Callithrix jacchus: one gene and its partners. The protein of the gene in region 3 interacts with the protein of the main gene of each other region in a biochemical or structural test. Links are inferred from orthologs where the notes say so. Each region holds a gene or a part of one and is shown on either strand. Other genes may lie near its edges. The genes, in order: JUNB, ATF2, MAPK9, ELK1 and MAPK8IP3.

Region 1 (3,841 bases), on a different chromosome or scaffold from region 3:
CTCTGGACCCAGGCCTGGGGCTTTCCGTGCCCGGGCAGCCGCCTGCCCGGGAAAATCCCGGCCCCCTTCCCGGCGCCGCGGCCCTGCCCGGCAGAGCGGGGGAGGGGATTCCCGGAATCTGCCCAGAGACCGCGGTCGCGTCACTGGGCAGAATCGGTCCTTATATGGGCAGCGCTTCCGCTGCGTCAGCGGGGAAAGCCCCGGCGCGCGCGGCTGGGCGGGGCCGCGCCTGCGCACTCCGCGTCTCGCGCAGAGCTCCCTGCCTTTTGCTACTGGGCTCCGAAATCGCGTCCCGCGCCCCGCGCCCCGCGCCCCGACCATCCAACCCTGGAGATCAGGAGGCGCGTATAGGGTGGGACTCCCGGGCGGGCCACAAGATGCCTGCGCAGAGCTGAAGAGGGGAACACACACAGGACCGAGCCACTTACAGCACTGAGCTGGGGCAAACCATTGCTTTTTTTTTCCCTCGGCCCTCCCAGCTTGGAAAAAAAGACAACAGAAATTAATAAAGAACCAATTTTTTTTTTTACTTAAATAGATTCAATAAAAAGAACAAACACACACACAAACACAAACACGTCTTAAAATAAACTCTTTAGAGACTAAGTGCGTGTTTCTTTTCCACAGTACGGTGCAGAGAGGGGAGGACAGGGGGCGGGGGTCCCCTTCCCAATGTCCCCGTGGGCTTGAGTACCGGACGGCGGGGCCAGCTCCGCCGCGATCGCCCCCTTCTCCCCTCCCTGTTAAATACACAAATATATTATATTCAATATGAATCGAGTCTGTTTCCAGCAGAAAAAACATACAAAAAAAAGTGGAACCGGGGGGGCTTGTAAACGTCGAGGTGGAAGGACTGGGCACAGGGCGGGAGGGCCGGAGTCCAGTGTGGTTAGCGGCGCTCCCAGGTCCCAGGGTAGGTGCCCACCGCCTGCCCCCTAGACCCCAGTGGGAGGCTTGCGCCCAGCCGTCCAGCGAGGGGGTGTCCGTAAGGGGGCAGGGGCGCTCAGAAGGCGTGTCCCTTGACCCCAAGCAGCAGCTGACAGCCGTTGCTGACGTGGGTCATGACCTTTTGTTTGAGCTGGGCCACCTGCTCCCGGAGGAGGCCGGCGGTACTCGACAGCCCCGCGTTCTCGGCCTTGAGCGTCTTCACCTTGTCCTCCAGGCGCGCGATGCGCTCCAGCTTCCGCTTCCGGCACTTGGTGGCCGCCAGCCGGTTCCGCAGCCGCTTGCGCTCCACTTTGATGCGCTCTTGGTCTTCCATGTTGATGGGGGACACCGGCGGCGTGGCGTCCCGGCTGCGCGCCTCCGGCACGGTCTGCGGTTCCTCCTTGAAAGTGGAGGCGCCGCGGCCCAAGCCCAGCTGCGCCGGGTGGCCACCGGCAAAGGGCGGCGCGTGTGGGAGGTAGCTGATGGTGGCCGTCGGGTACGAGCTCCCAGTCCCGACAGCAGCCCCGGCGCCTCCTGAGGACGCAGAGGCTGGGGAGTAGCTGCTGAGGTTGGTGTAAACGGGAGGTGGCTCCGGGCCGGCGTAGACGCCCCCGGGCCCAGCCGGGGGCCCCCCGCTAGCGCCCAGGGACACGTTGGGGGGTGTCACGTGGTTCATCTTGTGCAGGTCGTCCAGGGCTTTGACAAAGCCGTCGGCGAAGCCCTCCTGCTCCTCGGTGACGCCTCCCCCTGCGCCCCCCGCACCCCCACCGCTGCCACCCCCGCGAGGGTAAAAGTACTGTCCTGGGGGTGTAGGCGTCGTCGTGATCACGCCGTTGCTGTTGGGGACGATCAGGCGTTCCAGCTCCGAAGAGGCGAGCTTGAGAGACGCGCCGGTGTCCGAGCCCTGACCAGAAAAGTAGCTGCCGCCACCGCCGCCCTCTGGGCCGGATCCCCGAGCCCCAGGCGCTTTGAGACTCCGGTAGGGGTCGGCCAGGTTGAGCGCCAGGCCGGGTTTCAGGAGTTTGTAGTCGTGTATAGAGAGGCCACCGGGGGCCCGGCCGTATCCCGCAGGAGTGTATGAGTCGTCGTGGTAGAAGGGCTGTTCCATTTTAGTGCACATCCGGGCGGCCCAGGCGGTCGGGGGAAGGTCCCTGCGGGGCCGCCCCGGGCCTCGCTGCAGCGAGCGCCGCGCTCTCCGCTGCGGTGGCCGGACTGGGTACCTGGTCGCGCGTTCTCCGGGGCTGGCGCGGGCGGGGAGCAGCCAGCCGGAAGCTGTACGCAAAAGCTGTCAGGCTTCTCGAGTCCCCCTCACCCTCTTCGGCGCGCTAGCTTTCCTGGAGTGGTTTCCCCCAGCTCCCAGCTCCCGGCTCCCTGCTGGCTCCGAAGCTGGTCCGGCCGCTCTCCAGGTCCCAGCCGCTCAGCCTGAGCCACACGCCTTTATACAGAAGCTAGTCAGCCACGGAAGTGCGCTCTGATTGGCCGTCGCCGGAGCCGGGCCCCCGCGCCCCCCTCCTCGAGCGTGGGGAAGGGGAGGAGGCGGCTCGCGTCACTGTCAGGAAGCGCGTGTCCTTGTAAACAGCGGCCACGGGCCGGGTGGCTCGGCGGGGCTGCAGGGGGAGGGGCTCAAAGGACCCCGGGGTCCGCGTGGAAGGAGGTGCTGAGGGGCCTGGACACATGAGTGAGGGCGCTCAGGGAGGAGGATGATTTCCCTCCAGCCCACTGGGACAAATACCAGGACCTGGTACGGAGCAAATGGGGTGGAGATCCCAGGGTGTTCGAAGAAACCCTGAGGTACCCAGAGTACGAGAGGGGTGGAAGGACTGACAATTCATTGGGAGACCCCAAAAAGCAGAAATGAGGGTTACTAACGGTAAATCGGGAGGGGTAAGGAGAGACCTGACACAGGAATTGACTGGGGGCCCCAAGCACAGAGGGATGGAGTACTGGAATTTTCACAGGATGGAGGAGAGGAGAGATCAAAAGGGGACAGTGGTGGGCTGCATGACCCATTAAATTGCAAGAAATGAGTAGGGGTCCCGAAGCCCATGGGAGGATCTGAGAGCTCCCCATACGTGGGAAAGAGGAATTAGGAGAAATCTAGATATGCAGAAAGCGAATAAGGGTCCTGCTGTACACTGAGGCAGGTAAAATGTGCGGGGTAGAAGATGTAGACGTCTAGCAGAGATTGGGGACCACTGGAGTTATCCGCGAAGCCTGGATGAAGGAGAGATAGAAGGATCCGGATCCATCTTCGGAGCAGAGAAGACAGTAAGAGGGTACTCAGTTGACGTGAGGAGGGGGCTTTGGGGTCCACGCACCCGGACTGCTGATCTTCCATGACTGGTGCTCCCCCTCGTGGGTGACCCCTTAGGCATCTGCATTCCCTGTCCCCCATCCTAAAACTCTTCCCCTATTGACCCTGGGCTTTGCCCGACACCCTGTCGGCGCCTGGACCCAGCCCGACGGCTGGGGCGCGGTCGCCCAACCCCACACTCCCTTCCTTAGAAACAGGCTGGGGAAAGAGCGCCGAGGCAGGAAGTGTGGCAACAGCCCCGGGGGAAGGAGCCCGGCCCTGTCTCCGTCACTCGGATCCTACGGGACCTTGCGCCCCGCCCTGGGTCCCGCCGCATCCTGCGCCTCGGAAGAGGAACCTGGGCGTGCGAGCCCACGCGGAGGCCCTGGTGCTTGGAGCCGGCCCAGCAGCAGAAGCCTCCAGCTACCATCCTCTCCCCCCAGGCAATGGTTCCTCCCGCGGCGCCTGCTGGGGATCGCCGAGGCAGACAGCTTGGGGACTGTTCCATTGGACCGACAGCGGGAAACGCAGCCCAAGAGCTGGGCCTGGTCGCCATGGCAACAGGCGGGAGTCCGCCGGCAGGACTCAGGGCCGGGTGGCCCCCGGAGTCTCTCCCGCCGC
Region 2 (3,537 bases), on a different chromosome or scaffold from region 3:
TTAAAATTATTTGTAGAAATGAGGTTTTGCTATGTTCCCCAGGTGTAAAATACTTTATAAATGAAATAACTCTCTTTGTAATGCCAGTTATTAGGACAAAGAAATAATAACTGTATTTTTTAGAATTTGTAGAGTGAAAAATAGTTTGGTAATTTACATGAAGAATTTATCTTGAGCCCTATATAAGATTTTAATTACATAGATTAGGAGAAAACAAATTTTATTTGTGCATATTATTTTTTAATAAATTATAGGTAAAAGATTGTTTTCAGGCTTCTCCTTTGGATCACGTGCCTATGGCCACAAAGTTTTCTTTTCTCTGCACCATTTCCAAGAGTTCATTATCTTTTTTCTTTCTTTTTTTTGAGACTGAGTCTTGCTCTGTTGTCCAGGCTGGAGTGCCCTGGCATTGTCTCAGCTCACTGCAACCTCTGCCTCCCAGTTTCAGGCAATTCTCGTGCCTCAGCCTCAGGAGTAGCTGGGATTACAGGAATGCGCCACCATGTCGGGCTAATTTTTCTATATTTTTATTAGAGATGGGGGTTTTACCATGTTGGCCAGGCTGGTCTCGAACTTCCAACCTCAAGTGATCTGCCCGCCTCGGCCTCCCAAATGCTGGGATTACAGGCATGAGCCACTGCACCTGGCCAAGAGTTTATTTTCTAATGTCCATATTCATTTGTTCTGTGGTACAATTTTGGGGCTTGAGAAAGGCTTGAAGGTACCTATTGTTCAATAGTCTGAGACACAAGACAATGTAACTAGTGACTGAGTTCAATAGTCTTAGACACCAGACAATATAACTAGTGACTGAAGATTTCCTTCTCTGGCTAATCTGAGATAACCAAGCTGATTTGTTGGAGAGCAGAAGGGAGCAAATAAAATGAAAATTTTAAAGTTCCTGTGGGATTCTCCCTACCAGAAAAATTAGCCTTAATAAATACAAGAACTTGACCCTTAGAAAAAGACTATGACCTTAAATTTCACAAACTGAAGAAAAGCTGAATATACCAAAGAATATACATATTTTCACTCCATAACTTTAGAGAAGCCAGTTTTCTTTAAGAAAATTGACATTTAATATGAGATATTTAATTTAAAAATAGCATAGAAATTATGGTTTACTATCATGGATTTAAATAGGAAGCTATTAAACGTTTTAATTGAGAAATTTATAATCACTAGTTTTCCAGGGATTGAATAATACAATAAAGTCTGTTAAAATACACTTGGAAAAATATTTCTATGTATCATTTATATTGTATTTTGATTTTTTTCATATTTGCACATAAATGAAACTATACATACTTTAAAGAATACATTTGCTATTACATTGCATTAGTGAGAATTGTATTATATAGCATAGCTCATAAGTATATTTAAGAAAGAAGTTAAACCACTTAAGGGTGATTTTCTTTTTCTTTTTTTTTTTAATCTTTTTTTTTTTTTTTTTTAAGACAGAATTTCACTCTTGTCACTCAGGCTGGAGTGCAATGGTGCAATCTCAGCTCACTGCAACCTCTACCTCCTGGGTTCAAGGGATTCTCCTGCCTCAACCTCCCACGTACCTGGGATTACAGGTGCATGTCACCACACCCAGCTAATTTTGTATTTTTAGTAGAGACGGAGTTTCTCTATGTTGTCCAGGCTGGTCTCAAACTCTAGACCTCAGGTGATCGCCCACCTCGGCTTCCCAGAGTGCTGGGATTACAGGCATGAGCCACCGTGCCCGGCCACAGGGTGATTTTCATATTGCGCCAACATGCTTATGTATTCAATCAGACTTAGAAAATACAGTTGCTGTCCCTCTTTGACACCCTTTATTGTCTATGTTAATTCACTCACTAAATACAAATATAACAAGTTTTCCTCTCTGTTTATAATAGGCTTCTCCAGCTCACACAACTCCACAGACCCAAAGTACAAGTGGTCGTCGGAGAAGAGCAGCTAATGAAGATCCTGATGAAAAAAGGAGAAAGTTCTTAGAGCGAAATAGAGCAGCAGCTTCAAGATGCCGACAAAAAAGGAAAGTCTGGGTTCAGTCTTTAGAGAAGAAAGCAGAAGACTTGAGTTCTTTAAATGGTCAACTGCAGGTATGGTGCATATATGTGAATTTTGTTTTATTCATTTCTTTTTAAATAATTGTGAATATAGCTATTTTCTTTTTATTCTAGTTGGCCCTCCAAACATTTTAGGACATAATATTGGGTGTGTATGGAACTGTAGAAAATCATAGTTTTGTAAGCCTGTTTGTTTGAATGCTGGGATGAAGTAATATAAAACTTTCAACACTGATACAATGAGGAAATTTAAAACATGTTTACCTGCTTATAAAAGTAGCCAAACTTATCTGGTTTGAACTTTATAAAGTTGTGATATTAAGTGCAGATAATTTAAAAATTTTAAAATATCAGTTATTTCACTCATCTTTGGTTTATAGCACAACTAAAGTTGCTTCAGTAGCAGTTTTTAAATTCTTTCATTCTTTGAATTATAAATTTTGTTCTGTTTTGTTTTATTTAAAGAGAATATATTGCTCGTGAAATGTGCCAGATTGACAGCTTTGGAAACTGAAGGACTCTAATTATCCACAGACCAGGTACAATATGGCCAGTGGCAATACAGATCATTTCATACTGCCCTGCCAATGTGCCTCAGATACATTTCTTTAAAACCTCATGGAGTATAAAGTTTTAAGACAGCACCAAATCTGTTTTTTGTTTTGTCTTTCTTCCTTCCTTTTGTTTTTGTTGTGTTTTTTAATGTAAATATTCTCCCATATAATCTTAAACTACCAGTTGATTGATGAGTATCAACTAGAAAATTTATGTTATGAATTGCAGTTGTTATTAATCTAGCCCAATCTCCTGAATTATCCATACCCAGTTAAAAGTGAATCTTTCCATATAATCATAATTGATAGTAAGAAACCTGCTGTCTTCTTAAAGCCGTCTATAAAGATGTCACCAATATAATTGTCTGTTTAAATGGTTAGGAAACAGTTTTTAGCATCAGACATAGCATTTAACCAAATGTAAATTTTATAATGTAAATTATTTTAAATCTGAAGCAGACATCTTTCAAGTCTTTATTATGCTTTGCATATTGATATAATAGAATAGATTGTCTTGCAAAACATTTTTAACGATTTTATTTTAATGATTTAGAAGAAATTTAAATACAACTTACCACATCACATAGACTTAAAATATGTGCCTATCTTCTAGGGTTAAGAAATATATTTTATCATTTGTCAACTGATATATATGTAAAAATTTTTTTTTTTTTTTTTTTAGATAGAGTCTCACTCTGTTATCACCCAGGCTGGAGTGCAGTGGTGTGCTCTTGACTCACTGCAACCTCCACCTCCCAAGTTCAAGTGATTGTCCTGTCTCAGCCTCCCAAGTAGCTGGGATTATAGGTGCACGCAACTATGCCTGGCTAATTTTTGTATTTTTAGTAGAGATGGAGTTTTACCACATTGGCCAGGCTGGTCTCCAACTCCTGACCTCAGGTGATCCACCCGCCTTGACCTCC
Region 3 (3,537 bases):
GACACAAACTCATCATTTCTGATTGCTGCATAATATTCCATGGTGTATATGTGCCACATTTTTCCAATCCAGTCTATTATCAATGGGCATAAAATGCTTGTTCTTAACTTATTCTTTGATTTTAAAAAAAAGGAAACGAGAAGCAAATTGCTTCATTTGGTCTTAGCTCCAGACCAAGTCCTCACAGCGGAGAGTCCCTGGTTGAACTTGGGCTGCTTCTCCCCTGGCTTTCCTTCCTGTCGAGCAGCAGCCCAGCTTCTTTCTCTCAGGCCTCTCTGGGAACTGGGGGTGTCTGCACAGTACCCTGAGGTGGAATGGAGGGGCTAGGGGCTTCTTTTGGGGGCCAGGTAGAGATTGTCACTGCATTTTTAAACATTATATATTTATAATTTAAATTTTACAGAATCTAGGCAGCCTAGAAATAGAGCATTTAGCAGCATTGAAATGTAATTGTAACTGTTGTAAATATTCAAACGGCTTCCTGCTTGCCCTGAGAACAGTTCCACAGCCTTCACTGAGGCATACCTGAAACCCCCTTGTGGCCCATCAATTGGGATGTCTTAAAGTCAGGTGCTAGGCAGTTTTATGGAACGTGAAACTCCCCATGTAAAGTATCCTTGGGCTTTACCCTGTGTCAGTGGCTTGGCAATTTGACATTGCAGGTACACATTTTATACTCTTGTGAAAAGAATGGATGTGAGTTGTTTACAAGTCGCAGTCTCTAGCGTGAGTTTGCAGGCTGAAGTCCCCAGGCAAAAGTCAAATTCCTGAGTCCTAAGGAAGGAGGCTAGGGTGGTGGATCAGCAGGAAAAACATCCCTTAGTTATAAGGGAAGAGGTTGCCGAAGTTGTGTTAAGGCTTTGCAAGTGGGGTGGAATAGGATGCATGTCTTCATTCAGCGTACCCTATCCAAGTCGTGGGGGTGAGAAGACTTGAGGTGGATGATGATGGAATTGTTCGTCCAAGGAGAGAAAGAGCCATGGGAACATCCCAGGGTTAGAGGATTCTAGGCCTGTGCTGTCCAGAATGGCAGCCACCAACCACAGGAAGCTGTAGAGTACTCAGGATGTGGCCATGCTGCAGTTGTCAAATACATACTGGACTTCAAAGCCTCAGTACCAAAAAGAGAATATAAAATATCTCAAGGTTTTTCTGATGTTGATTACATTTTGAAATTATAATATGGATATATTGGGTTAAATAAAATATATTATTAAAATTAATTTCACCTATTTCTGTTCACACTGTTGAACATGGCTACTAGAAAATGTAAATTATACACATGGTTCACATTATATGGCATTGTCGATTTAACAGCACTACCCTAGACTGACAGTGAGCACGAGGACCTTAGCAGAAGAGAATCAGAGTATTGGGGAACTGAAGTCCAGGTGTGGAGGACGGGACATGTGGATGCTTAGACGGAGGGTAGACTGAGTAGCCTGAGGGCCTGCAAGGCCACAGAAAGGACAAAGGAAGGCCATGAACGTTTTCATTGGGAGTAAGGGGTACCATCTGACCTCTTTAGACTGATTTGTTTTAGTTTCAATTTCAGAGTAAGATTTTTCAAAATTGTTCCCAAATCCCAGAGTTCAGTTTACTCCCTACACTCTCACACTGGCTTCACAGACCCTTACGGATATGTAGCAGTTTATTTAGCATGCTCTGTTCTTTTTACTGATTTAAACTATTTCTTTCCTAGGATTTGAAGCCTAGCAACATTGTTGTGAAATCAGACTGCACCCTGAAGATCCTTGACTTTGGCCTGGCACGCACAGCGTGCACTAACTTTATGATGACTCCTTATGTGGTGACACGGTACTACCGGGCACCTGAAGTCATCCTGGGTATGGGCTACAAAGAGAATGGTGAGTAAAGGCAGGACTGGAAGAGGCTGAGATGTTTAGAAATTGCTCTAGTGGTGGTCCTGAGTTTTTTCTCTTTCCTTTGAACCATATGGTGTAGACCGTGGGAACTGTTACATATAGAATAGCATGATCCAGAGATAATAAATAATTAATTGTGTTTTTCCATTGGTTAAATCATTCCCTTTTAAAATTTTGCTTTTAAAATTAGTATTTTGAACTTTTTATCGACATTTAATCTACCTATAGCCAAGTGTGCAGATCCTGAGTGTGCAGTTGAGCTGATACGAGCACACCTACAGGACCAGCAGCTCTGGCCTCCCCATAGCCCCTCCTCCTCCCAGCCCACGAAGCTGGCCAATCTCCTGATCTCTAGCACCATGAATTGGTTTTTCTTGTTGGTTTTGTGATATAAATGGATTAATACATGTTCTCTTTCATGTAAAATTGGTATCTTTTTACATCAAAATTTAGCTTATTCTAGCAATATCAGAGCTCTTTGAAACTTGGCTTTTAGCAAATTTGATGAAAATAACTAAATCACACTTACTTTTTTTTATTATTATTAACAAATATTTGGTATTTTCTCAACTTATTTTTAAAAAGACTGAAATTTACCCAGGTCATCTGAAACAAGTTTTACTCCAGGTTTATCTTGCTGCATTGTAGCATGTGTTCCCACCCTGAGAGGCACAGCTTCATGTGCTTCCTGTGGAAGGGAGAGAAAACTAGATCCCCTGTTCACTTCTCCCCCCTGCCCACCAGCAGAGCACTTAGAGGGCTCTGCTGTCTGTCTGAGGCCAGGGGGACCAGCATGGCATCACAGATGAGGGCGGGAAGTCTGGGCCCCTATAGCAGGGTCACATTTGCAGTCCTGCAAGCCAGCCACTGTGTGCTGCATATTCCCCCACCGAGTGCTGCTGCCTTTCTGATAGGGCAGTCTAGAAAATGATCTGCTCATTTGGTGTGGTGTCCACAGTACACAAAAGCTCCTGCTGGCAAGCTGGTGACATTTACTGGGTTTGTCTCTGGGAGGGGGTTTGGAGAAAAGAGATGTGGGGCTGTAGCTGGTTTTTAATCCCCTGGTGTTTGGTAGTGGACATCTGGTCTGTCGGGTGCATCATGGCAGAAATGGTCCTCCATAAAGTCCTGTTCCCAGGAAGAGACTGTATCCTTCACAGGGGACCTGGCACTTGGCCATGGAGGCTGGGGGCAGGGTGGGCATATGACCCTGAAAAGCTTTGTGTTCACAGGCACTTCTTGTTTCTGGTTTTTTGTTTGTTTTAAGCTCTAAAGTATTGGACTCTTTGGCACTAAAACCCCAGATTGCTACAAACTGAAGGCTAAAATAGAGGTCAGCAATCATTCATATTGTGTAAAAAGTTCACCCTTAGCTAGCAATTTATTTTTCCATATTTGTGTGTTTAGTGCACTGTTAGAATTCCTTTTCCTCACCTTTGTTTTGCTCATGGCACTTCATAATTTTATCATTTCATTTTATTTTCAGTTGATATCTGGTCAGTGGGTTGCATCATGGGAGAGCTGGTGAAAGGTTGTGTGATATTCCAAGGCACTGACCGTATCCTTCCCCGCGACCTTGGCCCCGCCATGCTTTCCATAATGTCTCAGGCAGCATGACCACCTGCTTACACGAGCACTCACAAGGACAATG
Region 4 (3,537 bases), on a different chromosome or scaffold from region 3:
TTTGCTGCCAAAAGAGTTAAAAGAAGCTTTCTGTTTTTAGAGCATTTTTGGATTTTGGAATAGCAGATAAGGGACTGTGAACAAAATCAGCAACTAATATTTAGAGCTTATCATACACCTCAGGCATATGATATTTCATACATACAATATCCCTATGAACTACGTATTATTGCTATCCTATTTTACCAATGGGCATATCATTATCTCCATTTTACAGGTGAGAAAATTGAGGTACAAAGAGGTTAAAGATTATCGGCCAAGCATGGCGCCTCATGCCTGTAATCCCAGCACTTCAGGAGGCCAGGGAGAGAGGATTGCTTGAGCCTGAGAGTTTCAGAACAGTCTGGGCAAGGTAGTAAGACCCCCATCTCTAAAAAACGAAAAAGAATATGCCCAGGGTCACACAGCTAATAAGTGGCAGAACCAGGATTCAAACACTGGAAGTTTGGCCCTAGTGCCTGGGCAGTTGTCCAGCAGGCCACGTTGCCTCTCAGCTTAGAACAGTGCCTGATGCGTATTAAGCTGTCCATAGATGTTAATTATTACTGTCATCAAGAAAGAACATTCAGGTCCGAGCACGGTGGCTCGTGCCTGTAATTCCAGCACTGGGAGGCTGAGGTGGGAGGTAGGTGGATCACTTGAGGTCAGGAGTTCAAGATCAGCCTGGCCAACATGGTGAAACCCCATCTCTACTAAAAATACAAAAGTTAGGCAGGCATGGTGGTGGGTACCTGTAATCCCAGCTATGCAGGAGGCTGATGCATGAGAATCGCTTGAACCTGGGAGGCAGAGGTTGCGGTGAGTCAGGATTGTGCCACTGCACTGCACTCCAGCCTGGGCGATAGAGAGAGACTCCATCCCCCCAAAAAACAAAAACAAAAAAAAGAGAACATTCACGGACAGTAACAGGACAGAGAGAACAGGTGTTCAGTTTTAGGATGGCTTCATAAAGGAAAGGACCTTTGAGCTGGGACTTGAAAGGTAAGGAAGACTGCTAGGTGGAAGAAGGAAGCCCCACGTTGAGTGAGTAGCGTTTGCAAGGGTCTGGCAATAAAAAAAAAACCTGAAAACTTGACATTGATATGGTAGAAGATACAGATAATGCCCGAGTGAGGGGGATGGAACTAGTTTTCTATTCTCGCTGTAATAAATTATCACAAACTTAGCCACTTAAAACAACGCATTTGTTATCTTATAGTTGTGTAGGTCAGAAGTCCCACACTGGTCTCAGTGGGCTGGAATCCAGGTGTTGGCAGAGTTGTGTTCCTTCTGAAGGCTCTAGGGGAAAACCCGTTTCCTGCTCATTCAAGTTGTTGGCAGAATCCAATTCCTTGAGGTTGTAGGACTGAAGTCCCTGTTTCCTTACTGTCTGTCGGCTGGTAGCCATTCCCAGCTCTAAGAGGCTGCCCACAGTCCTTGGCTCTGAGCCCCCTTCCTCCATCTTCAGAGCCAACAATGGCAGGTTGAGTTCCTCTCACATTTCAAATCTCCCTGCCTCTTCTGTCGTCACATCTCTGAGCTACCTTTCTTCATCATCTGCTTTTCAGAGCTCATATGATTAGATTGAATTTACTCAAATAATCTCCCTATCTTAAGGTTTGTAACCTTAATTTCATCTGCAAAGTTCCTTTCTGCTGTGTAGTATAAATAACACATCCAGGGATTACGATATGGAGCAGGGGTGGCATCATTTGGCCTACCACAGTCTGCCCTCTGACCCTCATAGATTGACATTTGTCCCACATGGAAAATAAATTCACACCATCCTAAGATACCCACGAATTGTATTCATAACAGGGAGCAGCCCATGCTAGACTGGGCAGCTAGAAGTTAGCCTGGGGATGTTGAGGGAATGATGGTAGGGTTTGAGGACAGAGATGGAAAAAAGATGACAGAAAAAGGAACCCTCCCCCCGCTGACCCCTTCCCCTCCTATGTCCACTGCCTGTCAACTCAGCTGTTCGCTCTCCAGGTACCCCTGGGATGGCGTGAGCACTCCCCCAGCGATGGACCCATCTGTGACGCTGTGGCAGTTTCTGCTGCAGCTGCTGAGAGAACAGGGCAATGGCCACATCATCTCCTGGACTTCACGGGATGGTGGTGAATTCAAGCTGGTGGATGCAGAGGAGGTGGCCCGGCTGTGGGGGCTACGCAAGAACAAGACCAACATGAATTACGACAAGCTCAGCCGGGCCTTGCGGTACTACTATGACAAGGTACAGTCTCTGAGACCAGAGCTGGGACCCCCTGACATAAATATATAAATAGATATAAATATGAGAGATATTTCTTTTGTTTTAATTGCTATAGCTATGAATATTTATACCAGTATTTTTAATATTCTTGTCTAATTGCTGTTGTTGCTTCATTTTCTTACCACTTTAGCTTCAGCCTCCACAGTGGTGGTAATAAGGAGGCCTCCTCACCCTGTCCTCTGCAGTGACCTTGCCCTGTTCCACTTCTGTGTCATTAGCTTCAAATAATCCTCTGTATGAATAATTCATCACCCCATCCATCTACATTAATATACTGTCTTCCAGCATTTATATCAGTTACTTCATTTTCTTATCTTATTGCATTTGCTAGTCACCAGAACTGTGTCCTGACAGCCACCCACAAGGCCTGGTCCTGTGAACCCCTGGTTCTTGGAGCCAGGAGGAAGACCTATTCCCATACCTATTCCCTTTCATCCCACTGTGAAGAGGAAGTTATAGGACTGAAGTCCCTGGTGGGTCGGGGAGGGAAAATCAGATAGACAGACCTGGAGAGTGACAGAGGGGAGACTTGGAGAGGGGTTGATGGGAAGGGGCTTAAAGAAAGAATTGTCGGCTGGTCACGGGTGCTCATGCCTCTAATCCAGAACTTTAGGAGGCTGAGGCAAGCGGATCATGAGGTCAGGAGATCAAGACCATCCTAGCCAACATGGTGAAACCCTGTCTCTACTAAAATTACAAAAATTAGCCAGGTGTGGTGACATGTGCCTGTAGTCCCAGCTACTTGGGAGGCTGAGGCAGGAGAACTGCTTGAACCTGGGAGGCAGAGGTTGCAGTGAGCCAAGATCACACCACTGCACTCCAGCCTGGGCAACAGAGCAAGACTCCAGCTCAAAAAATAAAATTGCTGTGGGGAGAAGAGAGAAAGGGAGAGACTGGGGAGGGATACAGACAAGGGGATTCTAGGGGGAGAGGAAATGGGCTGGGAGGGGAACTTACAGAGACTGGAAAGCCGGAGGGGGGCAAGTAGAGAGAAGCCACTAGGAGAAGAGAAACACCACTCTGCCCTTCTTCTCCTCTGACACCCTGCCTCCAGCCTGCCCCTTTCCTCTAAGGCCCTCTGTTCCTCTCCTCCCTTCCTAGAATATCATCCGCAAGGTGAGCGGCCAGAAGTTCGTCTACAAGTTTGTGTCCTATCCTGAAGTTGCAGGGTGCTCCACTGAGGACTGCCTGCCCCAGCCAGAGGTGTCTGTTAACTCCACCATGGCAAATGTGGCCCCTGCTGCTATACATGCCACCCCAGGGGACACTGCCTCGGGAAAGCC
Region 5 (4,222 bases), on a different chromosome or scaffold from region 3:
CAGCAAAATAAAGTGCAAATCTTCTGGAACAACACATTAAGTTCAGGCCTCAAGTACTTCCAGAGAGAAAGTCGTGAGGACACTAGCTCAGAATGGGGGAAGGGGAGCCTGCGCCAAGAGTCAACCAGGATGACATGCAGAATCAGACCTGCAAAGGCTGCAGACACGTACTTATGAGACACACACAAAGCTTAAAAAGATAACTACGTGTTTGGAAGTAGTAAGAACCTATCAAAATGCTAAAATATTAGAAATCAAATAGGTCAAAAATAGAATCATTGGCTGGGCACAGCCTCACTTGGGGAGTGAGGTAATCCCAGCACTTGGGGAGGCTGGCCAATATGGTGAAACCCCTGCCTCTACTAAAAATACAAAACATAAGCCAAGTGTAATGGCGCACGCCTGTAGTCCCAGTTACTCGAAAGGCTGAGGCAGTCGAATCGCATGGACCCCGGAGGCAGAGGTTGCAGTGAGCCGAGATCGCGCCACTGCAGTCTATCCTGGGCGACAGAATGAGACTTGGTCTCACCACCCAAAAAATTATATACATATCTTTGAAATTAGTAACTCAGTGGACGGGTAACAGATTGCACAGAGCTGAAATGTTCGGTGCCGTGGCTCACGCCTCTCATCCCAACATTCTGGGTGGCCGAGTCAGGAGGATCACTTGAGGTCAGGAGTTCGAGACCAGCCTGGCCAATATGGTGAAACCCCATCTCTACTAAAAATACAAAATTATCTGGCCTGTAATCGCAGGTACTCGCAAGGCTAAGCCAGGAGAATGACTTGAACCCGGGAGGCAAGGGTTGCAGTGAGCCGGGATTGCGCCACTGTATCCAGCCTGAGTGACAGAGCGAGCCTCCATCTCGAAAGAAAAAAACCGGAAAATCTGAGTAAGTCACACTGTGCAGTAGGGAGAAGTGGGCGAAAGGAAGAAGGCCACTCTGCCGGGTTTCAGGATGAGATGGGCGTTGAAGATGCATTCACAGAATCCCGGGAAGAGCCAGCTGAGTTGGGAGGCACCAGGAGAGGGGAGGCGCCGGGCGCGGACTGAGCTGGGCGCAGTGCCGCAGGGAACGTAGGCGCATCAGGGCGGTCGGGAGGAGGCGCAGGCGCTGAACCTTCACCTAAAGCCGCTGGTGCGTGCAGAGCCTGGGGACGCGAACGAGGTCACCGGAAGCCCAGGGTGGCCGAGACGTGCTCAAGCTACCGCGCGCTGCGGACAACAGGCGCCGCCCCGGGGCTCCCACCAGCCAGCCTAACCAGGAGCGCCCCCAGCCCGGCTCAGTCGCGCTTCCGGCCTAAAGCCCGGCTTCCTCTGACGTCACGGCCCCTGCGCCCCCTGGCGGCGCGGCCGCCGCAGGACGCGCGGGCACCGCCCCCTCCGGCTGGCGGGCGGGACTTCCGGCTAGTGAGTGACGGGCGCAGCCTCGGCAGCGGCGGCGGAGCCCTGAGGCGACAGCAGCTGCAGGAGGCGACGGGCCGCGGCCTGCGGGACCTGAGGCAGCCGGGGCGGGCCGGGCGAGCCGGCCGGAGAGCTAGCCGCGCTGGCGGCGGCGGTGGCCGCGATGATGGAGATCCAGATGGACGAGGGCGGCGGCGTGGTGGTGTACCAGGACGACTACTGCTCCGGCTCGGTGATGTCGGAGCGGGTGTCGGGCCTGGCGGGCTCCATCTACCGCGAGTTCGAGCGCCTCATCCACTGCTACGACGAGGAGGTGGTCAAGGAGCTCATGCCGCTGGTGGTGAACGTGCTGGAGAACCTGGACTCGGTGCTCAGCGAGAACCAGGAGCACGAGGTGGAGCTGGAGCTGCTGCGCGAGGACAACGAGCAGCTCCTCACCCAGTACGAGCGCGAGAAGGCGCTGCGCAGGCAGGCGGAGGAGGTGCGTGGCCGCGGGGCCCCTGGGCGCCCGCCCCGGGACTCCTCACTCCAGACCCAGACCCCAGACCCAGACCCCAGACCCCGCCCCGGGACTCCTCACTGCAGACCCAGACCCCAGACCCCGCCCCGGGACTCACTCACTGCAGACCCAGACCCCAGACCCAGACCCCGCCCCGGGACTCACTCCAGACCCAGACCCCAGACCCCGCCCCGGGACTCACTCACTGCAGACCCAGACCCCAGACCCAGACCCCGCCCCGGGACTCACTCACTGCAGACCCAGACCCCAGACCCCGCCCCGGGACTCCTCACTCCAGACCCAGACCCCAGACCCCGCCCCGGGACTCCTCACTCCAGACCCAGACCCCAGACCCAGACCCCAGACCCCGCCCCGGGACTCCTCACTCACTCCAGACCCAGACCCCAGACCCCAGACCCCGCCCCGGGACTCCTCACTCCAGACCCAGACCCCAGACCCAGACCCCAGACCCCGCCCCGGGACTCCTCACTCACTCCAGACCCAGACCCCAGACCCCAGACCCCGCCCCGGGACTCCCCCACCCCCTCTGCCCCCCCGGACCCAGACCCCGCCCCGGGACTCACTCCAGACCCAGACCCCAGACCCCGCCCCGGGACTCACTCACTCCAGACCCAGACCCCAGACCCAGACCCCAGACCCCGCCCCGGGACTCCCCCACCCCCTCTGCCCCCCCGGACCCAGACCCCGCCCCGGGACTCACTCCAGACCCAGACCCCAGACCCCGCCCCGGGACTCACTCACTCCAGACCCAGACCCCAGACCCAGACCCCAGACCCCGCCCCGGGACTCACTCACTCCAGACCCAGACCCAGACCCCAGACCCCGCCCCGGGACTCCCCCACCCCCTCTGCCCCCCCGGACCCAGACCCCGCCCCGGGACTCACTCCAGACCCAGACCCCAGACCCCGCCCCGGGACTCCTCACTCACTCCAGACCCAGACCCCAGACCCCAGACCCCGCCCCGGGACTCACTCCAGACCCAGACCCCAGACCCAGACCCCGCCCCGGGACTCCAGACCCAGACCCCGCCCCGGGACTCCCCCACCCCCTCTGCCCGCCCCGGACCCAGACCCCGACCCGGGACTCCGGGACCCCTCGGCGCCCGCCCCGGCACTCACTCCAGACCCAGACCCCGCCCCGGGACTCCGGGACCCCTCGGCGCCCGCCCCGGACCCAGACCCAGAACCCAGACCCCGCCCCGGGACTCCGGGACCCAGACCCCGCCCCGGGACTCCCCCACCCCCTCTGCCCGCCGCGAGACGTCTCCCTAGAGCACCCCCCGCCTGCCCAGGCCTGGGCCCTGGCCCCCTCCTGCAGGCCCTCCAAACCCGCTGTGCCTGGCGTCGTCCCCGGGGAGCTCAGCCTCAAAGCCGGGCCCCGCTGTCTCCCCCGCCCCGCAACCTCTGCGTGCCGGTTCCCTTTGCTTTGGTGCCTGTGTTGAGTCCAAACCGCTTTCCAGACCCCGAATGCTCCTACCTCTGTCAGCCGCCGTTCTAAACCCATCTGGAAAAGGAATCTGGTTTTCTGAGGGTGCTGCGGCCTCTGTGCAGAGGTCGGAGACCTGTCCCTTGTCCCTGACCCCGTGTTTGAAGGTCTGACATGGGGGAATTGACCGCTTGATGTAAACACAGAGCAAGGCCGCGGACGAGCTGCCCCTGTCGGCAGGCCGAGCACCCGCCTTCTAGAGGTGATCTCTTTGCCCCTCGGTTCCCTGCCTGGCGAGGCCAGCGCTCAGAAACTCCACTCTGGCTTCTGAGGAGTTAAAAGTCCGAGTTCGGAGCGTTTAATTCTGTTCTAGGATGTCGCCATCACCTGGAAATCGCTGATTTGTGAAGCCGGTGGAAGCCCTGCCCGTAGGGAGCACCACTTAGCTTCATTGATTCACCATCAGATACTGAGGGGGCCCAGAGCCTCGCCCTTGGTCGGAAGCAGGTTCGGGGCGCGCTGGTTCCCGTCCCTGCTTTGCCTCTGTGACCTTGGCCTGTCGCCTGCCCGGGTTTGGATTTTCCATCAGAGGAGTGAATTGCGCTAGGCGGTCTCTAAGCTCAGACATTTTCCCATTCTGGGAGTTAGGTGATGCCGTCGGACTTGTGAATAGGACGTATCTTAGGAAACGACTTTAAATTCCTTTCAGTTAATTCGGCTTCACATGTTCTTGACTTTATATGAAAATAAGAGTTTTTCAGCATTTTGGCTTTTTCTGAAACCACGGTGAGTTATGCCCGAGTGTGGTTTAGAGCATGTTTATAAAAAACAGTCGTATCATTGCCCCTTACTGTGGTTTCTGTTGCGTTGGC

What was found.
Region 1: the proteins of MAPK9 (region 3) and JUNB form a complex in vitro, tested with the Homo sapiens proteins (2 studies listed by BioGRID). The link is inferred for Callithrix jacchus from reciprocal best matches to the Homo sapiens genes MAPK9 and JUNB.
Region 2: of the proteins of MAPK9 (region 3) and ATF2, one has a biochemical effect on the other in vitro, tested with the Homo sapiens proteins (4 studies listed by BioGRID and IntAct, with this or other methods). The link is inferred for Callithrix jacchus from reciprocal best matches to the Homo sapiens genes MAPK9 and ATF2.
Region 4: of the proteins of MAPK9 (region 3) and ELK1, one has a biochemical effect on the other in vitro, tested with the Homo sapiens proteins (2 studies listed by BioGRID). The link is inferred for Callithrix jacchus from reciprocal best matches to the Homo sapiens genes MAPK9 and ELK1.
Region 5: the proteins of MAPK9 (region 3) and MAPK8IP3 form a complex in vitro, tested with the Homo sapiens proteins (2 studies listed by BioGRID). The link is inferred for Callithrix jacchus from reciprocal best matches to the Homo sapiens genes MAPK9 and MAPK8IP3.

What each region holds. Positions count from the first base shown.
Region 1 is NC_133523.1:11,614,651-11,618,491, reverse strand, and holds JUNB (transcription factor JunB), read right to left. Parts: upstream 2,339-3,841; 5' UTR 2,048-2,338; coding exon 1,004-2,047; 3' UTR 503-1,003; downstream 1-502. UniProt on the Homo sapiens protein: Transcription factor involved in regulating gene activity following the primary growth factor response. Binds to the DNA sequence 5'-TGA[GC]TCA-3'.
Region 2 is NC_133507.1:54,352,849-54,356,385, forward strand, and holds part of ATF2 (cyclic AMP-dependent transcription factor ATF-2), read left to right. Parts: intron 1-1,886; coding exon 1,887-2,093; intron 2,094-2,525; exon of another isoform or gene 2,526-2,599; intron 2,600-3,537. UniProt on the Homo sapiens protein: Transcriptional activator which regulates the transcription of various genes, including those involved in anti-apoptosis, cell growth, and DNA damage response.
Region 3 is NC_133503.1:71,371,790-71,375,326, forward strand, and holds part of MAPK9 (mitogen-activated protein kinase 9), read left to right. Parts: intron 1-1,702; coding exon 1,703-1,868; intron 1,869-2,961; coding exon of another isoform or gene 2,962-3,033; intron 3,034-3,153; coding exon of another isoform or gene 3,154-3,182; exon of another isoform or gene 3,183-3,219; intron 3,220-3,372; coding exon 3,373-3,444; exon of another isoform or gene 3,445-3,537. UniProt on the Homo sapiens protein: Serine/threonine-protein kinase involved in various processes such as cell proliferation, differentiation, migration, transformation and programmed cell death.
Region 4 is NC_133524.1:48,602,860-48,606,396, reverse strand, and holds part of ELK1 (ETS domain-containing protein Elk-1), read left to right. Parts: intron 1-1,971; 5' UTR 1,972-2,005; coding exon 2,006-2,215; intron 2,216-3,355; coding exon 3,356-3,537. UniProt on the Homo sapiens protein: Transcription factor that binds to purine-rich DNA sequences. Forms a ternary complex with SRF and the ETS and SRF motifs of the serum response element (SRE) on the promoter region of immediate early genes such as FOS and IER2.
Region 5 is NC_133513.1:3,958,975-3,963,196, forward strand, and holds the start of MAPK8IP3 (C-Jun-amino-terminal kinase-interacting protein 3), read left to right. Parts: upstream 1-1,410; 5' UTR 1,411-1,568; coding exon 1,569-1,886; intron 1,887-4,222.